2 linked regions of the Drosophila melanogaster genome follow. The protein of the gene in region 2 interacts with the protein of the main gene of each other region in a pairwise test. Each region holds a gene or a part of one and is shown on either strand. Other genes may lie near its edges.

What was found.
Region 1: the proteins of sim (region 2) and D interact in a two-hybrid assay, tested with the Drosophila melanogaster proteins (one study listed by BioGRID).

The regions. Positions count from the first base shown.
Region 1 is NT_037436.4:14,175,071-14,180,531, forward strand, and holds D (dichaete), read right to left. Parts: upstream 3,551-5,461; 5' UTR 3,499-3,550; intron 3,423-3,498; 5' UTR 2,269-3,422; coding exon 1,120-2,268; 3' UTR 540-1,119; downstream 1-539. UniProt on the Drosophila melanogaster protein: Essential for segmentation and CNS development. May modulate the actions of other transcription factors, including gap and pair-rule proteins.
Region 2 is NT_033777.3:13,070,584-13,078,437, reverse strand, and holds sim (single-minded), read right to left. Parts: upstream 6,040-7,854; 5' UTR 5,940-6,039; coding exon 5,888-5,939; intron 5,777-5,887; coding exon 5,582-5,776; intron 4,359-5,581; coding exon 4,189-4,358; intron 3,868-4,188; coding exon 3,766-3,867; intron 3,626-3,765; coding exon of another isoform or gene 3,602-3,625; coding exon 3,434-3,601; intron 3,362-3,433; coding exon 3,162-3,361; intron 2,240-3,161; coding exon 2,133-2,239; intron 2,045-2,132; coding exon 972-2,044; 3' UTR 314-971; downstream 1-313.

The DNA of each region.
Region 1 (5,461 bases), on a different chromosome or scaffold from region 2:
ATTGTTTTTAAGCTTTATCCGAATGACTCACTCAATCCAGTTGAGAATATTATGTTAATGGTCTTATGAATATTCAAATTCGTTATTAATTTCGTTGATAATTTTGATGCATGCTCAGAGCACGACCCTGTATAATCTTAAAGGTTATGAAAAATACAGACACAAATTCGAATTTAAATATGATAATCCAATTATGGAGTATAAAATATAATCAGCTGAAAAATTTAAGTCACATATAGCTTGGGCATATGTTTAAAGTAAATTTATAACATAACTGTAAAATGTGGTATGCTGGCTAAGAAAATGGGAAATGCATTCTATTAAAGGCTTAAAATTATCTTTTTTGTTTTTCAGCTTTTTCCCGGTATATATATATATATGATAACTTCGTCTGATTCCAGTCACAACAACTCTACCTATGTCTTTAATGTGATTACATTTGGTAGAGAATCATCATCATTCATTTCAAAACCAATTGCCAGTTTCACATCTTCCAAGCTGTAAATTATTTGAAATAGAATAAACAGGTTTTCAAATTTGGTTTTCTCAAATCATTTTGTTTTTATTCACTTTTAAATGTCTTTGTTTTGTGTTGGCCTTCATGAACCATTATTCGCTTAGATGATAACTTTTACAATACAATTAATAATACAATAATACATTGATGTACGTTCTTTCCTCGCATTTGGGGCTACACTGAGACTTTAACGAATAGTTGCAGGGATATTTACAATTTGAGAGGGTTAGACAATTAAAACTATAAGCTACATTTTAGGTAGGTGCTGATGCGAAAAAAAACAACAAGAAGGAGGCGCTCGCTCGATGCTTAAAACTAAATAAAATTAATTTACAATTAGGTTTATCTTTTTTAATTTTCTTTGCGGTATAGTGAGTGCGCTAAATAAATTATAATTTATAGTTTGTGTATTGGCTAGGAATGTTTTGTGTGTTCCCTCCTTACTCTCTAGATCTGAAGTGCGCGAAGATTGTACTAGAATTAAGCGGAGTGGTTTGGAGGATTGGCTTACTTAGAGCTTTTGAAGATTTAAAACCAGTGGATCACTTTGGGAATGCGTCAACAATTGTACTCTACTCTGTACTCTAACCTAAAACTCGACTCTAATAGAGCACCGGAACCGGTCGCCTCAGGGCACTGTCCATGGAACCATCCATACCATTTGGCGTGATGGTTCCGGGCGAAGATCCCGGCGAGGAGGTGGACGAGGATGGGTAGAGTCCGGCGGCATTGGCGGAGTGTGCGGCGTACAGCGAAGGTGCCGAGATGCCGGAATAAATGCCCGAGTAGAAGCTGCTCAGCGAGGTGGGCGGCAATTGGGGCGGGGCTTGTCCTTGCTGCTGACCCTGATTGTTGACCGCCGCCGCCGCCGCTGCCTGGGATTGATGCAATTTCGATAGAGCCAGTGGGTCAAATCCACCGAAGTACGGCACTGGATAACCCTGATCCAGATGGTGTGAGGGTGCAAAGTATGGCGGTAGTTGATGGAATGGATTGTAGCCTCCGGCTCCAGCTCCCGGTCCAGCTCCCAACTTCTGTTGACCCATGCCGCCGGCCTGCATCTGCAGTCCACCCTGGGGTCCAGCGGTCAGTGGGTTCTTGGGCTTGCGGCGTGGCCGGTACTTGTAGTCCGGGTGCTCCTTCATGTGCAGGGCCCTCAAGCGCTTGGCCTCATCGATGAATGGTCGTTTCTCCGACTCGGCCAGCAACTTCCACTCGGCACCCAGGCGCTTGGAGATCTCAGAGTTGTGCATCTTGGGGTTATCCTTGGCGATCTGACGACGCTGCAGGCGGGACCAGACCATGAACGCGTTCATTGGACGCTTGATGTGACCCTCTTGTCCCGGCGATGTGGCCAAACTGTGCATGCCGGCGGACTGGTGACCCGAACTGGAGTTGAGACCACTGCCATTGCTGCCCAGGCTGCTCTGGCTACCCAGACTGCCGGCGGATCCGATGGAACTGTTGGGCGACAAGGTCTGTTGGGCGGAGACCGCCTGGTGCATGTGGTGCGGGGTCATGTGACTGGACATGTGGTGACCCATGCCCGAGGATCCGTTCACACCCTGGCCGGCGGGTCCATTGGGCGATCCGCCCATGGCTGCCAGGCTTTGGGAGTAGTGCAGCACACGCTTGATATCCATGTCCATGCCGGGACTCAGCTGGAGCTGACTTTGCGGTGCGTAGTCCTCCAAGCCTTGGGCCTGACCCAAATGGAAACCGTAATTGGGGTGTGTCGATAAGGTGGCCATTCCAGCTATTTTGAACACTTTGTTTAACTTTTGCTTCTTTCAAGATCAACACTTCACTTTCTAGAACACAATATGTCTGTGGTTCAACTGTGATTTCTCAGATTTTTTCTTTGTCTCTATGTCAATTACTGTCTTGCTTTTGCTTCTGCTTTGCTCTTGCTTTGCTTCTGCTCGGATCGACTGCTTTTTTGTGACTGATTTCAGTAGTGTTCCAGTGCGGCCTACACGACTGCAGCCAAATCCCGTTTCTCTCGGAAGAGAGTTGAGCACGAAGTGCGAGCAACCCTCGCACCATTACCTTTACGTAAGCCACGTGGGTGCGAGCGGGATAGAGGCTGGGCTTCTTACCTGGGAGAGAGCTGCGCCGTCGTCGCGCTCTCACTCACACATAGCGTCTTCTCTCTTTCGTTTTGCGGCCCATTGTTCCACTGGCTTTGTTCCATTGGCTCCTTTATATCGGTTATAGTTGTTCGCCCATTGAGGGGTGTGTTCAATAGAGGAGCTCAATAGAGCCAAAAGCCAGGCAGCTCTCGTTCGGCTGTGCTTCGTGTTATTCGATTTAGCGACCCCAATCCTGTGGGGCAGGGGGAGCTCAAAGTACGGAGCGAGAGAGAGAAAGAGAGCCAGGGCGAGCGCGGGAGCACATTGATTTTCGCACAGTGGGCACACAATTTCCGTTATTGTTTGCACGGCGGCGTTGCACTTCCGCATCTCCTATGCAGTTAGAACGAGAGAGGGAGAGAACACAACTCTCTCCCCGCGTATGTGTGTGCGTGTTTGTTGGGCCAATCACAATGGGTCTTTGGTGTGAATTTTTGTCCATTGTGGGTGTCTGTGTTCTGCTATATACCGTTCTCTATGTGTACTCTGTAGTCAGTACTATGTGTGTGTGTGAAAGGACTTTTTAGTTTGTGAAAAGGACATGGAAACACGCTTTCCATTCTCTTGCCCCGCTCTCCATTCTCGCATTCTTTCATTTCGCTCGCCATTCTTCTCCATTCTTTTCCGTTCCCTTTTTGCCACTTCTTCCTGGCCGCTCCAGAAAGGATATTACTGCAATTATTTACTTATTTGGCCATAGAAAGAAGCCCACAAAGGAGCCAGTGGAAGTGAGGCAAATCTTCACCCAGATGCATGTAGAACGGTCCTCTGTGCTTTATTATAGAAAAGATGTTTTAGCCAGCTTTTCTTTTTGGTTTACCAAATAAGCAGTAGCAAAAGAAAACAAACCTTTTAATGTTGATTGAAAGGACAAGGGCAATCGAATAATTGACAATTAAATCTACCGCAAACTAATGTTTTTTTCATTCGTAACTAAAAGAGTTTCCCAAATAATAATAATAAGTTTTCAAATTCTTGTTAACACACATATTTACCTCTCTTTCGAAACGAAGACATAATTTATGGCTTTTGTGATGCAAAGATTGTAAGAGTTTAACATTGCTTCATTAAACAACATCTTGACCCCAAGAGCCGTTGTTTTAATAAAAATGTTTCTTTCAGGAATAAGGTTGCAATATTCTATTATATTTTTTAAAACTCCATAACCCCAAAAGTAAAACCATTCTCCCCTTTGAGCTTTTATCCCACCCTTCTCTTTGCCTTTCTCCTGCTCATGCACGCACCCACACAACGATGCACCAAAGCTTAGTGCAATTTCCAATTGCATTTACAAAGCTCTTATACCTGGCCCATAGCGTAAGAGCATAAAAAGCTTTCAGCGTTCGCAACGTTTCCGTTGTGTCTGCTTTCCCCAAAAAAGGAAGAAAGGACAACGTAGAACGGCAACAACAACGAATCTCAAATAATAATGAAAGCAAAAACTGTTGTACGTTGTGTAATGGAAAAAGTTTTGTCCGCGTCACATTTTTCTTTCTGAGTTTTCAGCATTTCACTTAGCAGACGAGGACACTAAGTGAGTGATAATAGCACACAGTGTAGGATGAATGCAGGATCCTGTTTCCTAAAATCGCTCCCCACCCACATGCGGCATAAATAATTGTTACATTTGTGATACAATTTATGATGAATTCCTTATTTTATATAAATAAATATTCTTTTAGAATCCAGTTAAAATAAGTGTAAAGAGTAAAACAAATAAGGATAAACGTTTTAAATTATTAGCACATATACTCTTTATGTGTTTTGCTATCAAATTCAATAAATAAATAAGCTAGCTGATGCATTTTTAATTTCATTTTTGCGGAATAGTGACAATCAAAATTGTCTTAAGAATATTGTTCAAATTAGTGGAAGTTGTAAAATAATTCATGATAAACTTCTAATACTCGTAGTTGGATAAATAAACTCTAAATATGTTTTCTGTCTAATTTAATAATTACTTAAGCTAATAATAGATTTTCTTTCTTTGTTATGGTGCCGTGCAAACTGAAAAACATTTTATTTATCAGATATTTATCTGATAAAAATCTATCAGTATAAATACAGTATCAGAGTGCAGTTGAAAATTAAATAAATGTAAATTTAATTTGATCGCATAATGGCAGGTGAGAGATGAGTCAAGTTGTGCCGTGATTACTATTATTCGAATACAATATTAACCATTATCCTGTCGCCAGAAATCACCCTCACCGCTTAACCCATTCGAAATTCACCGATTCTCCGCGGTGAAAGAGAAAGACTCGCGTTTTATTGTTCGTTCCTGCATTGTTGTTGTTTTCGATTGTTGATTGTTGTTGTTTTCATTCAATTGTCATTTGGGGAGCTGGTTTCATTTTTATTTGTTGTATTCCGCAAATATAATTTTTGTCATTCATTCTTTTTTAATTAAATTCAGGAACAATCGCGCAAATGTAAGACTTGACAATGTCCAGAATGGATTCAATGATAATGAAAAAATTAAAACGAATATAAAAGGCAAATGAGGTTACATTCCCATTATTGTTCAGTTGATTGAATCGTTCAATTATTGATATGGCATATATATCGTATCATTTTTGCAAGTTATATATTCTTTTCCCCCTCATTTGGAGTTATGCCTACCATCTGGCGTCGGCAGTTATAAAATGAATCGTTTTGACTGAATTTTCTCACGTTTTCGGATTGGCCTTTGTTCATTTTGCATTTCCATTTTCCACCCACAAGAGTTCTTTTTTGATTTTTCCTGCTTCCTGACGTACGTGTCCATTTGATCGCCTCACAGATTTTGGCGCTTTTCACATGTCATTCCAGT
Region 2 (7,854 bases):
GGCAGATTAAGGAACTAAATATATGTGTAGTTTAGTATGTTACCTAAAAATATGCAACGAAATATTTTAAAATCGGCTATTGCGTCAAAGCTGCATTTTTCAATCCATACAAAATTTGATTAAAACGCTAAATTGTGAAATATATAAAAGCATATAAATAGATAATTTTAAAACAAAGATAATGGAAATAGATAAAGGTGCTAGTTTTTGAAAATAACATTTTATTTGTAAACCAAGATTACTAAATTAAATAATAACTCTAGAGGCTTCCAGCGGCGCTTATTTGAAAAAATCGAACTCTCGCTCTTTTTTTATTGTTCACCCACGTAATAATTTGTTTATTCAAATTAGAAAAATTCTCGATAATAATAGATTTTACATTTACAATTATTTACTTGACTTATGAAGATCATATTCGTTAACTGCATAGTGGAGCGGACCCTGCACTATTTACACATTATTGCATATACATATGTATATTCGTAGATCCGATGTGTATGCATGATTATGGGGGCCAAGTGTATGCGCTTTACTATATAGTTATAAGTATAAGTATGTGCAATTAATTTAAGTTAGTTTGTATGAACAGTTTACAGTTAGGCCTTACAACTATTTATTATTAGAATTTGTATTTGCTTTTGCATTTGTTAACAACGATCATTCCGCATTCTTAATTTCTTAGCATTTTGTATCAATTTCTTTGTAACTTTACACTGCACAATTAACGCGAACGCATTGCATTGGGTAATGCATGGTGGGGGTGTTAAATAAATAAAATAGAGGCATAGAGGAGGTCCTGAAATTCAGATGGTGTGTGGCTCAGCCACATATTACAATTTCGAACTGAGAACTCAGAGGTGTATATAACATTGCAACGGATGGTGGGGTGGGGGCAGTCGACGTTTTATAAACAACAGTACAGTAGCAGTCAAGGCTCATCGTCCAACATTTGGTTATTTACATTTTTAGGATCACCAGGTGGCGTATTGGTATTGCAGATGCTGCTGCTCCATCAGATGCTGCTGCTGCTGCTGATGCTGATGCTGTTGCGAACTGTTGTCGGAGAAGTAGCTCAGCTCGAAGTTGTGACTCAGATCGCTGTAGGTCGTCTGTGAGGGCGATGTTTCGTTCACAATCGAGGCATTTCCGGTGGACAGCTGCCTTTCGCTCTCCGAACTGCTCGAGCAGCTATTCGAATTGGCCGAGAATGGGCGTATCATCGAGGTGGCCACATCCACCGTCGCATCGTAGTCATAGTAATAGTGATTGTTGTTATTGTAGTACAGGTTGCCGGTGGTCGTGTCCGGATACTGCATCTCCGTGGAGTAAACGCCGGAGGACGAGGCCGACGCACTGGATCCACCGCCCGCACTTGAGGCGGTGCCACCGCCCACACTGCTGCTCGAGCTCACCACCAGGTCGTTCAAGGGCGGATAAAGCTGCGTGTAACTCAGGCTATCGTGATCCATGCTGCCGGACTGCTGCTGCTGTTGCACATGATGGTGGTGCCACACGCCGTTGTTATTGTTGCTACTACTACTACTATTATTCGTTGGGGGCACGGGCGTTACGGCCGGCTGCAGCGGCAGCTCTGGCTCGAAATACGGATCCAGCTTGGGACTTGCACTGAGGGCCAGACTAACTGGCGTACCCGGACCCACCGGCTGACCCGTTGCTCCGGCGCACTGCGGCTGCACCACCACCGACTGCTGGGGCACCACCACCACCTGGGCCTGCACCGCTTGAGCCACATGTGCCGCCTGTGCCGCCTGTGCCGCTTGGGCCGCTTGGGCCGCTTGAGCTGCCTGTGCCGCTTGAGCCGCCGGCGATATGGGCTCCCGCTTCACAACGCCCGTCTGAATCTCGTTCAGCACCAAGTCTTTCACCTCTCGTTCGCTCAGCACATAGTTCACGCTCACGATGAACACTTCTCGCGAGGATCGCGAATTGTGCACCAGTGTCGCGTACGACTGCACCCACACCCAGCCGCCGCCTTTGGTGAGGAAGCGGTAGTACTTGGTGGTCACTTGTCCTTTGTACAGCACTATTGATAGGGAGAGAAGAAACAAACTCGATGAGAATGATGTTTTATGGAAATTATTATGGCAGTGTATTGGGATGAGTGTACTTACGGATTTGATGAGAGCAGCGCATGGCCATGATGTCCGCGGCGTGGATATACTGATACAGGGTCTTCTCGATGAGGTCCTGCGGCTCGTATCCTGTTAGCTGCGATACGCTGTAAGCAAATAAACAGGCAAAAGGATGAGCATGAGAATGGGGATAAGTTTCGAGGTCGAGGGCAAAAGTTTCGCTGGCTTATTTAAACAGTGAATGAATGGTCATTGGTGTTGCCTTTGTCGCTGGCGTGTTTTATTCGGTTGGTTTACTTTTGCCGACTCCAATTCAATTATGCAGGAAAACAAAAAAAAAAGAAGCGGCGAAAAAGGGGCTGATTTCCCGCTCAGCACTTTGGGGTTGTTTGCTGCGAAAGTGCGAGGGCGCCAGAATAGGATGGCAATATGCTGTGTGGCATCATGAGGGTAATTGAGTGACAATAATGTCAGACAAAGTGGGCTGGTTTTTTGGCCCGGCAGGCACTTACACAGCGTCCCCTTTCCCCCTCAGCACTCACTCACACACTCACACACACGCACAGGGACAAAGGAAAATCAAGCTCAAGAGGGAAATGATTTGTTTTTCCTTTTGTCATGTCGCCACCGTCTTGCTTACATTTCCTTTTCCCTACTCGATTATTTTTTTTGTTTTCCGCCACTTTGAAAACATTATCTTTTTGGGGGCGTCTGCTGGTACTTTTTATCGTGGTGTAAAAAACGAATTCTGCGGCCCGTTTAAATATTTGCCTAGTGTCGAATATACGGCAAACAGGCAAAGGATACTTTCGAGAATTTTTTAAGTGCAGTGAGAAAAATTATGCTGTGAAAGCACCAGGCTACACGGATAAAAATTGGTCTTAGAATTACATTATGATATTTAAGGATATTAAACATTAAGGATATTTAAACATCCAATAAATCGATGTTGTAAGATTTATAGGAATTTCTCGAGTGGATTTCAATACAAAGTGATAGAAAATATGCAGACAACGAACTATTCATCTATTTGTGCCCTAATTAAATGGAAATTTGAATTACACTTACCGTGCATCGAAGAAGATGAGCTTCATGTCCAGCTTGGCCCGGAACATGAACATATTCTGGTGCAGCTTGATTTCCGTGATGGCGGATGAAGGCAGCGAGTGACCGACGGCCACCAGGCCGAGATTCTGGATGAGGCTGCCCTGTCCATCCCCGCGATCGGGATAGATGCGAGCCTTCAGATAGCCGGAGCAGTGTATCACCTAAAATCATCAAGTAATACAAGGATAAGCAATCAATCCATTTAAAGGAATGGTATGTATAAAATTCTTTACCTTAAATCCGGAGGTGGTGAGGCCCGCGTTCCTTTTGGCCAGGACGCACTTCATGCGCAGGAAGAAGGTCTTCTCGATCTCGATGGTGTGCGATCCGCGATCGTGGTCGTAGGCGGATGGATGCTGGACGCCATTGGGACTGCCGATGGGCGTGTGCGTCTGGGCGAGCTGTAGGGAGTTGAGAAAGGCGGCCTGTGGCGTGAGTACAAGTCAGAGTAGGATGGATGCATGGCAGTGAGAGAGAGAGAGAGAGATGGAGAGAGAAAGAAAGAGAGCGCAAACATTTTCAAATGTTTCAAAGGACTCTGTGGAAACACGGATGCTCTACTCACTGGATGCTGGTTGATGTGCGGATGCAGCGACAAAATGGCATTCATCTCGTCCTGATCGTAGTTGTGTATGTACTCGAATATCGAGTTGCCCGTCAGCTCAACCTGGTTAAAAAAAAGAGATAAATAAACCATTAAATATTAAATTTATATAAAATATATCCTATACTGATGTAAAGTTAATTTCTTTATGCTGATCATATAAGTGGAGCTATGTTAATTTGCTCCACCAGCACTGAGTGCCAATTAGTGGGCAAATGCAAATGAATCGTCTTTACTGAAGCCACAGCACTTGGGTGACCTGCACCATTCAAGCCCATTGACTTGCAAATGCAAGTGGTGGCCAGGATACAAAAAGGCAAATTCAGGTGGCCCGGCAAATTATGCGCATAAATCAGGACAAGAGATCCATTCACCGACACTCACCTGACTGAGGCCCAAATGCACGGAGGCCGTTTCCGAGATGTACATGATTTTGCCATCCGGAGCCACCACGAAGATGAATCCGTCCAGCGTCTGCAGCAGATGGGAGCCCAGCTCCTTGATGGTGGCGCCGCGTTGCATGGCAGGCGATGAGCCCCAGGCTTCGCCAAGACCTACAAAATAAGATTTAGATTTATGAAACATGTTTTATTGTCTTTAAAAATGAAATCTAAAAAGTTCTTGCTACTTAATACAATCAAATTGTATTCCGTTTTAAATGATTTTTATATAGTTTTATATTTAAGCTGTCCTTTCTATTGTCTCCGTTTGATTGGACTTGGATTTAGTATTATGTCAAGCTCCCGTTTCTATTGTCTTATCCGCCCCAATGTCCTGAATTAATTGTTTGTCATCCGCTCGAAGTATCTTAATTCGCAAAATTCCCACCAGCAGCAGTGGCAGTGGCAGCACACGCCCTACTTGCCACTGCTGACGTCTAAATATTATTCCCAATTAAAGTCATCGAGCGCCGTAGGTGGCCCATTCACAGCCCACCATTCCACCCACTGGCCCACCCCCCCCGACTTTCATCGACTTCGCACCATATATACAACATATATTGTGTTGTACATAATACCACTGGCACTTCCTTGGCCCGTCCGGATCTCGTTGTTTGTTGCCTATTATTAAAATAATTATTTCAATAAAGGCTGAAAAGAAAAGCACAAAACGGTGCGGCAACAATGGGAGCGTCAAACGCCCAACCAACCGACCGACCAACGAACCACCCACCCACTCACTTCTCGAGCAACCCTCTTTGTCAGCAGAAAATCTCAGTGGCGCACGCTCACATGGTCGGTGGGGAAAAGTTCGGGAAATGTGTGTGTGTGTGTGTGTGTGTGGGGGGGGGGGGGGGGGAGATGTTCGAGTTCGGTTTTCCAGTGCGGCTCTCGCTGCTCTTTGAGTGAAACAACCAAGCAGCCGCCATTGTGTTTTCGCCAACCCCAACCAGCCGCCCACTTCATCCTGCTGTTTATTGTCTGCCCATTTGTTGAGTGCTATTTCCCTGTTATTTCCCTGGCCGATTCTCGCCAACATATGCTTTAAACAAACATAGCCGCTTAAACTTGAAAACTGGCAGCGTAAAATGGAATGAAATGAAATCATTGCAAGTACATTGGAGTTAAAGTGAAAACAAAGGAGCATGTCCTGCTGCGAGGATATGACGAGCTTGGATTATAATGAGCGTGTCGGTCGCGTGGCTGTCAAAGATTCCGCATCATTTGCCGTGTAGCCACAAGGCGCATTTCACACGAGATGAAAAGCCAAGAGCGGCGACAAATTGAGCGCCAATCAAGTGAGTTTTTCCGCAGGACGATTTTCCGATTGAACTTACCATCGGGAAAGACTTGGCGCATTTTCAAATACGACGTGGTCAGCCGGATGACGGAGGCCTTGTCCAGTTGCGAAGTAATCGCCGCCGGCAGCGGCAGTAATTTGGCCAATTCACAGAATTCCGTGTTTTCCTTTTCACGTCGCGTGCGTGCCGCATTTTTGCTTTTCTCCTTCATGGCACACGTTTTGGCTATATCTGCAAAAATCGAAATAACCAAAAAGCATTTTTAGTAACAGAGGAGAAAGTTGGTAACAAACTAAAAAAAATGAACGTTGATATATTTCGTTGCCAAAAACCACAACCGACCATGCAATCTGCTCTCATAGCAATCCTTGCGCACTCGCCGATGGTTAGTCATTTTAAAGATATCCTTTTTTATAGATCCTGCTTTGAGACTGTTGCGAGCACCTTCTCAGCACTTGCTCATATCCCTGCAATCACCTGTTTGCAACTGAGCCGCTTTCCAGCGGCACAAGCACTTTTAACAGTTTCCCAACTGATCCCGAAAAGGATCTGTTACCTGATCCTGAGAAAACAACCTGCCATTGGCTGCACTGGATTTTTACCTGTTTACCCGGGGCAATTGACTTTTCGCAATGTTACTAATTTGCTCAGATCATTTTTGCCGAATGGCGAGACGAAAATAGCTGCCATCTCACTCCAAGTGACTCCTGCATTCAACAGGTTGACTTTTGCCGACCGCAGGAGTTTCACTTATATCTATATGCACACAGACACACACACAAATATTCTGGTGTCTGTGCGAGCACATAATACCCAAATGATGTCCCACGCACACTGCCAAACAAAACGAGAGTTTAGGAGGTGGCGAAATTTATATGCACCACACTCACACACATCCACAGCCAGGATGAGGATGACCCACAGCCGGAATCCTGCCATTGATAGTTTTCGAACGTGATTTTGGCGCAGTTTTGGCAAAATCTAAGCCATTGGAACTCCTGCTGCTTTATTTTCCATCGAGTCACTTTTTCTGTCACTCTCAAAGAAATTGGCCATTTACCTAAATGTACCGAATGGCTGGAATTCGCACGTAAATACAAGTTTATTGACTTAGGTCACGTATCTTAAATGTTTTTAGTTTTGCCGCTAATTTGCCCACAAAAATGTTAGATATGCAAGTTAATCCGACGTCTTTTATGGCCATATAATGCAATATATACCTCAAATTTTATACTTCAACTAAATGTATATTGGAATAACTAGAGCTTAGCTAATTTATGATAAAAAATTAAAAAATAAATCAAAGCCAAAACTCCAATAAAGTGTTTCCTTTGTATTGATAGTACTTTGCATCCATTTAGCAGCAAGAAATGAAACATTTGTCAAAAGTCAGAGATTGAGGGAATTGTCGACATCCGTTACGCATTCGCAGGAGCAACAGATTTGCCCAACGATCATAATCCTAAAGAGTATTCCGCGCTAATCCGCAACGCAAATGTGCCAACATGCACGTCTGAAGTGAGGTTGCTTCCCTTTCTCCGTTGGCGAAGTGGAAATTCCAGGGGAAATAGGGGAAAACTGAGGCGTTCCCATTTAGGCCGCGATTGCCATATTTGACTCGACTAGCGTACAATATGCGGACAGGAGTCAGCCAGAGGGTTGGATATCATATGCCGGCAAATCCATTTAATAGGATAGTTTACGAGCCGTAAGTGGGTCAAAATTATTCAGGATATAAGCCATTATTCCATTTGAACATTACAGCATTTCATATAGCCATAAATACGGGAATATGCCATTGATATATCAGCGTTTGTTTCAATAATCTCAATTCTGGATATAGGAAACAAAGATGTAATCAAAACATGCTAGATAGTATGAAATCATCGTAAAATGTGCACATCTTTAGGATTAATATTTTACAGAAAATTAAAAAAATGTTAAATAAATTGTCATTTCAAATTTTTTTTCAATTATATTTATAAACCCTAGGGCTAAAAAAGTTCCCCTTTCACGACAATGAAACTCAAACTTTAACGATCTTTTCCCGGAAAGCGTATAAAAATGCGACTCATGCCTCGAATGGCAACTCAATGAACCGGATCTCAAGCCGAATCCCAGCCCATCCAAGCAACTTGACCTTAATCTGGTTACAGGCAAACAGCAAACTGAAAACAAATGGCCAAAAGTTTAAAAATAAAGTCAACACAAATATTCACACTGAACTTGAACTAGAGAGTTTCACATAAGGAGGACAATGCTGTGGGAATGGGTTGGTGTGGCATGGAAACAGGTAGGATGAGCAAAGA